Linked DNA regions of Caenorhabditis elegans. The protein of the gene in region 2 interacts with the protein of the main gene of each other region in a pairwise test. Each region holds a gene or a part of one and is shown on either strand. Other genes may lie near its edges. The genes, in order: numr-1 and Y113G7B.15.

Region 1 (3,575 bases), on a different chromosome or scaffold from region 2:
ATCACTTCCAAACATCCCATCCCGATTTTATGTAGGTTCCTGTTTAGTTATTCATTAAACTTGTTAATAAGGTTCATCAAAGTTTATTTAGAAATTTAGATGCTTTTATGATAAAATTTTTAATTATTTAATACAGAAAACACACAAAATTAAATGGCAACATGACGTGAAATAGTGATCTAAATAGCTGGAGAACAATTAATTTTTGAAACGAAATGCAAACATTTAATTTCCACTAAATAGTTTGAGTATTATTCGTACGTAAATGAAAACAAATTTTGATGGAGATTGACTTCAAAAATGACTGGAGCTTAAAAATTGACATGAAATCCTGGCAATGTTGTGGGAAGAGAATCTGCAGAAGGTTACTTTAATATTTTGAAAAGTGTCTATCATGAAAGATGCTTATCGCATTATGGAGAGCTTCCAATGTATATATAATGTAGTCACATATTCTATTTATATGAAAAATAAGTTTATTTTTTAACGTTTATTATAAAAAACAGTTTTTAAAATTATTCAAAAAAGTACATGAAAATAAGTAGTGGAATGAATTGAGAACATTGAATACTACTTTTGAAAGAATAATTATAAAATAAGAATGAAAAATGAGATAATTAACATCGACCAAATCTGCGTTCAAATGGATGTTGTCTCTTGAATCCATGATGTCCGAATCCATGACCAAATCCATGATGATGACCACCGAATCCATGGAATGCTCCAAATGGATGATGATGTCTATGGAAATTGAATCCATGATGATCCATTCCTCGTCTTCCAAATGGTCTTCCGAATCCTCCAGTTGGACCTTCAAATTCTTCTCTTCCACAAGGTGTTCCAAATGATCCTAATGGATGTCTTTTGAATTCTTCTCCTTCACGACATGGTCTTCTTCCAATTGGTGATGCTGATCTTGCACGTCTTCCACCAAAACAGTGACGTCTTTTGAATTCTGGATGTCCATGGGATTCTTGGAATCTTTTCCACATGAGCTTCTTCATTTGATGTCTCTTGTGATGATCATGGAAATTTGAACGACTTCTGCTTCGAGATCTTGAACGATCAAATCCACGACTTCTGGATCTATCACGTCTTCCACAATGACGACGATGTGGAGCTACTTCAGGAGCATCAGCAATAATGACATCTTCATCTCCAGAATCAGAAGAATCAGATGAAGAATCCGATGAATCAGAATCAGCAATCACAAAAATAGAAGCAGAATCTCTGTTAGCCATCTTTTTCAGAACTCTCTGAGCATTCTGAGACATTGAAATCAAATTTCCTTTGTCATTTTTCCAGAAAACAACATTGAAATTGAGTCCGAGTTCTCCCAATTTCAACTCTAATTTTTCAATTAGTTGTTGCAAATTGTAATATTCAATTGAAATTTGTTCAGTTGCTCCAGGAGCAAAATAAAGTTTGAAAAGAATTGAATTGGTTGCAGTTGTAGTTTTCATTTTTCAGAATGATTTTCTCTATTCTAAATTTCCAATTTTTATACCTCCATTCTTAAGCTCCGCCTACCAGCTGTCCCTGAACTATTTCGAAATTGTTTAATGTGTCTGTGTCTATCGAAATAATACGAAAATGTACTGTCATCACTGTCTGCGTCTCGAATTGGCGCTGATCTTTTGATATTCATTGATGAATGAGACTAGAGACATGGATGTATTGCACAAACCACAGAAAGAGCACAAAGTCTTTGAATTTCAGATGATCTGAAATACATCGACATCAATAGAGATTTACTTCTTAGGTGACATTATGCTTGGTGATTTCATTAGAAATATTGAACATTCATCTAACGAATTGGGATCTGCAAACTCAATGTTTCAGAAAACGTGTTCATTTCAAAAAGTGATCGAAAAATAGTTTTTTTCTGTAAAAATTTCGCTCTCCAGATTTCAGACCCTAATCAGATTGAAAACATAGGCAGGCACTCAGTCCGGGTTACGGAAAAAACTATTTTTCGATCGCTTTTTGAAATGAACACGTTTTCTGAAAAATTGGGTTTGCAGATCCCAATTTGTTAGATGAATGTTCAATATTTCTAATGAAATCACCAAACATTATGTCACCTAAGAAGTAAATCTCTATTGATGTCGATGTATTTCAGATCATCTGAAATTCAAAGACTTTGTGCTCTTTCTGTGGTTTGTGCAATACATCCATGTCTCTAGTCTCATTCATCAATGAATATCAAAAGATCAGCGCCAATTCGAGACGCAGACAGTGATGACAGTACATTTTCGTATTATTTCGATAGACACAGACACATTAAACAATTTCGAAATAGTTCAGGGACAGCTGGTAGGCGGAGCTTAAGAATGGAGGTATAAAAATTGGAAATTTAGAATAGAGAAAATCATTCTGAAAAATGAAAACTACAACTGCAACCAATTCAATTCTTTTCAAACTTTATTTTGCTCCTGGAGCAACTGAACAAATTTCAATTGAATATTACAATTTGCAACAACTAATTGAAAAATTAGAGTTGAAATTGGGAGAACTCGGACTCAATTTCAATGTTGTTTTCTGGAAAAATGACAAAGGAAATTTGATTTCAATGTCTCAGAATGCTCAGAGAGTTCTGAAAAAGATGGCTAACAGAGATTCTGCTTCTATTTTTGTGATTGCTGATTCTGATTCATCGGATTCTTCATCTGATTCTTCTGATTCTGGAGATGAAGATGTCATTATTGCTGATGCTCCTGAAGTAGCTCCACATCGTCGTCATTGTGGAAGACGTGATAGATCCAGAAGTCGTGGATTTGATCGTTCAAGATCTCGAAGCAGAAGTCGTTCAAATTTCCATGATCATCACAAGAGACATCAAATGAAGAAGCTCATGTGGAAAAGATTCCAAGAATCCCATGGACATCCAGAATTCAAAAGACGTCACTGTTTTGGTGGAAGACGTGCAAGATCAGCATCACCAATTGGAAGAAGACCATGTCGTGAAGGAGAAGAATTCAAAAGACATCCATTAGGATCATTTGGAACACCTTGTGGAAGAGAAGAATTTGAAGGTCCAACTGGAGGATTCGGAAGACCATTTGGAAGACGAGGAATGGATCATCATGGATTCAATTTCCATAGACATCATCATCCATTTGGAGCATTCCATGGATTCGGTGGTCATCATCATGGATTTGGTCATGGATTCGGACATCATGGATTCAAGAGACAACATCCATTTGAACGCAGATTTGGTCGATGTTAATTATCTCATTTTTCATTCTTATTTTATAATTATTCTTTCAAAAGTAGTATTCAATGTTCTCAATTCATTCCACTACTTATTTTCATGTACTTTTTTGAATAATTTTAAAAACTGTTTTTTATAATAAACGTTAAAAAATAAACTTATTTTTCATATAAATAGAATGTACATTATATATATACATTGGAATCTCTCAATAATGTGATGAGCATCTAGACACTTTTCAAAATATTACAGTAACCTTCTGCATATTCACTTCCAACAACATTGCTAGACGTCTATTGATTTTTAAGTTGAAATGTTAGTAGAATAGTATTTCAACTAGAGTGGTCATTCAATAAAAAAA
Region 2 (7,363 bases):
GTGCAAAAGATTGTCGAGAAATAGCGAAGAAGCTGAACGACAAAAATGACAGAACAGTCAGCGTAGTTTTCTTGTCAGAGAGAGCAGGGGCAATCAATTTGCATGGTGCGACACATGTCATTTTGCTAGGCATGCACTGGAATCTGGCTCTTGAACAAGAGGCATGTAGCTGCGTATGTAACATTGCACAGAAGAATATTGTCACTATTCACAGGTACATTTTTAGTTATCTATCTGGAGGAATAATAAACAGGCAAAGTTTCGAGATTTTCTTGCAACTGTTCAGTTTTTTTTTAGTTTAACATTGTCATCTCTAACGACTGTAATTTCAGAATAAAGGTTGCTGGCACCAATGAGGATGACGTCGAAAAAGCTCAAGACGACAAAAGCGATAGATCTGTCGGAGCAGAAACACCAATTAGAGAGTCAACGCCAATTTCTCTCAAGAAATAATCATTTTGTCGTGATAACTTTCGAATCGTTCATTATTTTTTAAGTTTCCGGTTTGGCAAACTTTTGTAAAACTTTTGTATACTCAAATGTTGTAATTCACTAAACCAACTAATTTTTTAAAACATTCATTACACAATTAATTATCAATCATAGCAGTAGCCGCATGACTTTCAATCAGACACCAGTTAACACCACGTCGAATCTTGACATATCCATGAAGACCCCAATCGGAATTCCACGAGTTTCTAACCAACCAATACGGGACACCGTCATCTGATGTACCATAACCAACAATTGCTACGGAATGCCATTCCGCTGGTGTCATTTGGTAACAATCTTCGGATTGAAGTACTCCTGATGTGTACCATTCAAAGTTCTCACCCACTCGGAAATCTGGAAAAATTTGAAAATTTTTTGGAAACTTTTTTTTTGGAATTTTTTTTAATTTCAAAATCTTATAACTTATCCAGTTTTTGAGATATTAACTTTTTCTTTATTTCAAAATGTGCGCAAAATGATTCACTATCAGTCTGCAAAAATTTCAGCGTTCAGCCATTGTAGACCACAGTACCACAGGACTTTTCGCGGTCAAACCAAAATTTTGAAAAAAATTTTTTAATTAAAATTTTTAAAATTCCAAAATTTCGTAACTTTGTCAGTTTTTAAGATATTTACCTAATTTTTATTTCATAATGTGTGCAAAATTTTTTACTGCCAGCTTATGTAATTTCAACTTCAAGCCATCTCAGACTACAGTACTCCAAGAGTTTTCGTGGCGGGACACAAGTTTTCAAAAAAAAAAATTTTTTTGCAAAATTTTTTAAATTTCAATACTTCAAAACTTAGCCAGTTTTTGAGATATTCACCTAAGTTAAATTTCAAAATGTGTGCAAAATCTTTTACTATCAGGTTATAAAATTTCAGCTTCAAACAATCTCAGACTACAGTACCACAGGACTTTTCGTGGCGGGGCCAAAATTTTGAAAAAAAAAATTGCAAAAATTTTTAAAATTTCAAAGCGTTATAACTTTGTCAGTTTTCAAAATTTTTAGATAATTTTTAACTTGACAGGAGCGCATACTCTTTCTCTACTAGAATTCAAAGCTCAGAGCCATTACCCAAGACTTTTCGTGGCGGGACCAAAATTTTGAAGAAAAAAATATTTTCTTTGCAAATTTTTTCCGAAATTTAAAACCTTATAACTTTGTCAGTTTTTAAGGTATCTGACTTATTTTTATTTCAGAATGTGTGCAAAATTTTTTACTGTCAGCTTATAAATGTTCAGCTTCAAGCCAATTCAGACTACAGTACCCCAGGACTTTTCGTGGCGGGACCAAAATTTTGAAAAAAATATTTTTTGCAAAAATTTTTAAAATTTCAAAGCAACATATCTTTGCTAGTTTTCAAGATTTTCAGATAATTTTTATTTTGACAGGAGCGCATACTTTTATTCTACTAGTTTGCAAAATTTGGGCTTCAAGCCATCCCAGACTAAAGAACTACAGGACGTTTCGTGGTGGGACCCAAATGCTAATTTTTTCGCAAAATTTTCAAATTTCAAAACCTCATAATTTAGTCAGTTTTTAAGATTTTTTTTTCGTAATTTTTGCCAGATTCACATGTTTCAGGCCCAAACCATACCGGATTACTGTACCCCAAAACTTTTCGTGGCGAGACCCTTCAAAAAAACTTACAAACTGCTGTAGGGATATGATTGAGATACAAATTCTCCATAATATCCTCCTCTGCATAATCTTGATCAAATCGATAGACATTTAAAGTTTCCGGCTGGATTACTGTACTTTTCTCGTCGCCCACGCAATTTCCAGTGGTATTCGCCCGATATTCCTCGTAAGGGTAGTCACCGTCACTGGACTGTCCCCGTAGATGCACCATTTTCAGACCGTTCCTTGGATCACCTCCCACGCACCCAGGAGTGTCTCCTGAATCTGCACAATCGCAAATTTCCTGGTCCGAGAGACTTGTGAAGGACTTGGAGTAGAGGGTGTTGGCAGCTTCGGTGATGGCAGTGGTGGCGAACGCCCAGCAGCAACCGCATTGTTCTGAAAAGTTATCAGTTGAAAAGAGCGTAAAATTTAAAATGGAAATAGTTTTTGAAACACCAAAAAATAAATATTTTGAAGGGAGTTATGAAGGTTTGAAGTTGGTGGCCTAGAATTTCAGATGAGGCCACCGGTATTTGGGGGAGTTTTTCAAGTTAACAATTAAATTACAAACCGATTGGCTTTTACAAACTCCAAATACGTCGATTTTGAAGCGAGTTATGAGAGTTTGAAGTTGGTGGCCTAGAAATCCAAATGATTGTTTTCTAGGCCATCAAAATTTAAGTAGGTCATATTGAACGTAAATTTCATGGTGAACAAAATTATTTTTACGGATCTCGAAAATATCAATTTTCCGCCGAGTTATATGGGATTGAAGTTGGGTCCTAGAAATCCAATTTGGTGTTTTTCTAGGCCATTAAAAATTAACTAAGTTAATTTGATAGTAAACTTTATGGAAAGATACATGCTTTTAACAAAACCCGAAAATATCAATTTTCCGCCGAGTTATGACGGTTTCAAGTTGGTGGCCTAGAAAGTTTAAAAACTCTTCCACGACTATAACTTTGCTTAGAAATTATAGTTTTCAAACCTGAAATTGTAAAAACATTGAGTCTAAGTTATTATTGTTTTCGAATAATTGGTGGCCTAGAAAACCTGAGCATGATTTTTCTAGGCCACCAACTTCTAACATTCATAACTTGGCGGAAAATCTACATAATAAAATTTTGCAAAAACCAATTTATTTGTCTAAAAAATTGCAATAAATTTGACCTACTTGATTTTGATGGCCTAGAAATCCAAAAATTTCTGCATTTCTAGGCCACCAACTTCAAACCCTCATAACTCGGCGGAAAATCAATATTTTTTCGCCAATCAAAATCTGTGTTTACTCAAATTTTAAGCTTTTTCAAATTAAGCATACCTTGATCTTTAACAGGACCAACAACTGGACTCCCATCGACATAAATATCACGGAGGTCGAAATAGTCCGGAATATCCCCACTTTGACGTTTTGAGCGTTTATTATGATGATTACGACTGCCACGTGGATGCCTCGGCTTGTAAATTGGAAGATCCGTGTGGTTTTTGGGATGAATCTGGAAAATTTCCAAATTATTTTTTTTTAATTTTCGTTTAAAAAAAAAGAATAATTAGAACTTAAAGAACGCACCGTGAACATTCTAATACAATTTTCAAATTTCAAAAATATTGATTTTCCGCCGAGTTATGAAAGTTTGAAGTTGGTGGCCTAGAAACCCAAAATTTTGGATGTCTAGGCCATCAAAAATTAAATAGGTCAGATCGATTCCAAATTTCGTAAGTTGGTTTTTGTAAAATTCAGAAATATTGATTTAAAGCCGAATTATGGAGGGTTGAAGTTGGTGGCCTAGAAATTAAAAGTTAGGCCACCTGCTTCAAATTCTTGTAACTTGGCTCAAAATCAATATTTTTGAGTTTTACAGAAACAAACTTAATCAACTTGAATTTTGGAATCAATTCGGCTTATTTAAAATTGGTGGCCTAGAATTTTTCAGGTTTCTAGGCGACAAACTTCAAACCGGCATAACTCGACGGAAAATAAATATTTTTCAGTGATTCCAAAACTAACGTATATGTCTCAAAATTTGAAATCGATTTGACCTATTTGATATTTCGTGGCCTAGAATTTCTAATATTTGAGTTTCTAGGCCACCAACTTCAAAACGTCATAACTCAGCTCAAAATCAATATTTTTCAGTGATTCCAAAACTAACGTATATGTCTCAAAATTTGGAATCAAATTGATCTATTTAATATTTGGTGGCCTAGAATTTCTGATTTTTGGGTTTCTAGGCCACCAACTTAAAACCGTCATAACTCAACGGAAAATCAATATTTTTCAGCTATTCCAAAACTATCGTACTCTCCCTAAAATTTGAAGTCCATTTGACCTACTGAATATTGGTGGCCTAGAGTTTTTAACTGTTGGGTTTCTAGGTCACAAACCTCAAACCGTCATAACTCGACGGAAACTCAATATTTTTCAGTGACTCCAAAACTAACGTACTTTTCTCAAAATTTGAAATCAATTTGACCTATTTGATATTTGGTGGCCTAGAATTTCTAACTTTTGAGTTTCTAGGCCACCAACTTCCATCTCTCATAACTTGGCTCGAAATTAATATTTTCAGTGGTTCCTAAACTACCGTGATTGACTTGAAATTAGGAATAGATTCGGCCTATTTAAAATTGGTGGCCTAGAATTTCTGATTTTTGGATTTTTAGGCCACCAACTTCAATCCTTCATAACTTTGCTCAAGATCAATATTTTTCAGTGATTCCAAAACTAACGTACTTGCCACAAAATTTGGAATCGATTTGACCTATTTAATATTGGTGGCCTAGAATTTCTGATTTTTGGGTTTCTAGGCCACCAACTTAAAACCGTCATAACTCAACGGAAAATCAATATTTTTCAGTGATTCTAAAACTAATGTACTCTCCCTAAAATTTAGAGTCTATTTGACCTATTTAATACTGGTGACCTAAATTTTCTAAATTTCCGGTTTCTAGGCCACCACCTTCAAAACGCCATAACTCGGTTTAAAATCAATATTTTTCAACCAATCAAAAACCATCTTGCGCAGAATTTTGTGCGCTTTTTGAAAAAACTCCCCAACCTTTGAATTTCTGGCGCTCAACTCCTGTCGATTCTTATCAGCAAACTTATTCCACCCAAAAGTCACATTTCGTCCTTCTCTCCTTGCTTTCGCATTAAGTTCCTGGATTTTCTGATGATTTTTCGCGAAATGAGCCAACCGGCGGTCTTTCTCCGCCGGGGTACGGTAGTGTTTCTTATGGTGCATCGTGAAATTGTTAAAATGTGACAGTACCTCCTGAGAGTGTTGGGTTACTGTAGGTTGGCATAGAGAGAGTAGGAATAAGGGGGAAATTATGAAAAGTAACATTTTTCAGGTTTTTACGGGGTTTTCGCTGGTTTTTATAGGTGGAATCACGCCGATCAACATGTTCAAGGTAACAGGTAACATAAAATGATAAAATATGAAAAAAAATTGTTCTTGTTTCAGTGTTACTCTGAGCCCTGAAAGTTTAGTTCTCCAAAAAAAAAAAAATTTTTAATCTAAAAATTTAAAAAAAAATGTTTTTTTTTTTTTTTAATTCCCTCAAAACCCTTCGCAATTGTTCTAAACCAACTTAGCTATACTAATTCAAACATTAAAAAAATATTGACCCTAGCGGGGGTTCGAACCTATGACCCTCCGCACATAACCATACCTCTTCCCGCCTGAGCCACTTTGACCCAGTTTTCAAACTGCTCCAAAATTCGCGTAATTTAGTTGTTTTAGGCTCAGAATTTCACGATAATTCCAGAAATTTAACTAGTTTTGATCTACGTTCATGTTGAACAGAGTTATGAGTAAAAAACTTTAAATCGATCAATTTCTTGGCTCAAAATTCGAAAAAAAAAGTTGAAAAGTTAATATGGGTGTCAAAAAATGTCTAAATTTTCTGCAGAATTTGGAAATTTATGCTAAAATCGCTGAAAACTTCAAGAAATTGGCAAAAAACCAAAAGAAAACACATTTTATCGATTTTTTTCAAAAAATTCCCTTAAACCCTTCCTCCCCTTCGCAATTGCTCAAAACCAACTAGGCTATACTAATTCAAACATATAAAAAATATTGACCCTAGCGGGGGTTCGAACCTGTTACCCTCCGAACCATAGCCTTCTCTCTTCCCGCCTGAGCCACTTGACCAAGTTTTCAAACTGCTCCAAAATTCGCGTAATTTAGGTGTTTTAAGCCTGAAATTTTACGAAAGTTCCAAAAATTTCACCAGTTTTGCGCTATGGTCATGCTGAACAATGTTATGAGCAGAAAAACTTTAAATTATTCACTTTTTGGCTCAAAAATCGAAAATTTATATCAAACCAAATTTTTTTGTCTATTTTCAGGAAAAAACATGGAGTAAGCTTCGTTTTTATGTTTAAAAAAGCTAAAATAAATGAAAATTTAAGAGAAAAAAACCCGATTTTTGAAGTGAAAATCCAGTTTTTTGGGGGAACATAAAAATGGAATAATGAGGTTTTTGAGCAAAATTTGATAATTTTAAAGTGAAAAATTGAGATTCAAAGAGGAGAAAACAGGCGAAAAATCACCGCAAAATTTCAGTGAAAATGCTCATTTTTTGACAGAAAATTGGCAAAAAGTGACAAATTAAAGTAGACATATGTAAAAAAAAAAAAAGGGGGTTTCAGGGGTAAAAAATGATGAAAAATTCGGGAAAATTACAAAAAAATGGATTAAATTTACGATTTTAGGGGTAAAAATGATGAAAATTCCAAAAAAATCCGAAAAAATTATCAAAAAATTCTTCTTCACATCAGTTGAATATTTCCATCTTCAACCAATTGATGTACCGATTCGAACGGAATCAAATGACACGATTCCGGTTCCATTTCCAAAATCACTTCTCCATTCAAATCCTGCCAATCCGGAATCGCAACGTTGCCCACGTCATCTGACGTCACTTTTGCGTAAACCATGACGTCATCATGATCGCCACGTGGAACTGGCATCTTTTTAAGCGCTGCTGGCATGAATTCTGAAGAAAATTGAGAGTTTTTGGGAAATTTTTTTTTTTTTGAAATTTTGAAAAAAAAAGTTTTTTTTTGGGAATTTTGAAATTTTTTTTTTTTGAAATTTTGAAAAAAAAATTGTAAAAATTGCCACGTGGCATTAAGCGAAATTTTGCAGTTTTTGAGAGAAAAAAAAACTGCAAAAAAAATCGAAATTTTCCAGATTTTCTGAGCTTTTACGCAAATTTTTCTGAATTTTTGAGGT

Evidence for each region.
Region 1: the proteins of Y113G7B.15 (region 2) and numr-1 interact in a two-hybrid assay, tested with the Caenorhabditis elegans proteins (one large-scale study listed by BioGRID).

The regions. Positions count from the first base shown.
Region 1 is NC_003281.10:7,362,002-7,365,576, forward strand, and holds numr-1 (PB1 domain-containing protein), read right to left. Parts: upstream 1,464-3,575; coding exon 618-1,463; downstream 1-617. Other genes in the region: numr-2 (PB1 domain-containing protein), read left to right, coding at 2,384-3,229.
Region 2 is NC_003283.11:20,228,377-20,235,739, forward strand, and holds Y113G7B.15 (Pept_C1 domain-containing protein), read right to left. Parts: upstream 5,468-7,363; coding exon 5,180-5,467; intron 3,617-5,179; coding exon 3,442-3,616; intron 2,517-3,441; coding exon 2,148-2,516; intron 847-2,147; coding exon 590-846; 3' UTR 563-589; downstream 1-562. Other genes in the region: sld-5 (DNA replication complex GINS protein SLD5), read right to left, coding at 6,898-7,124.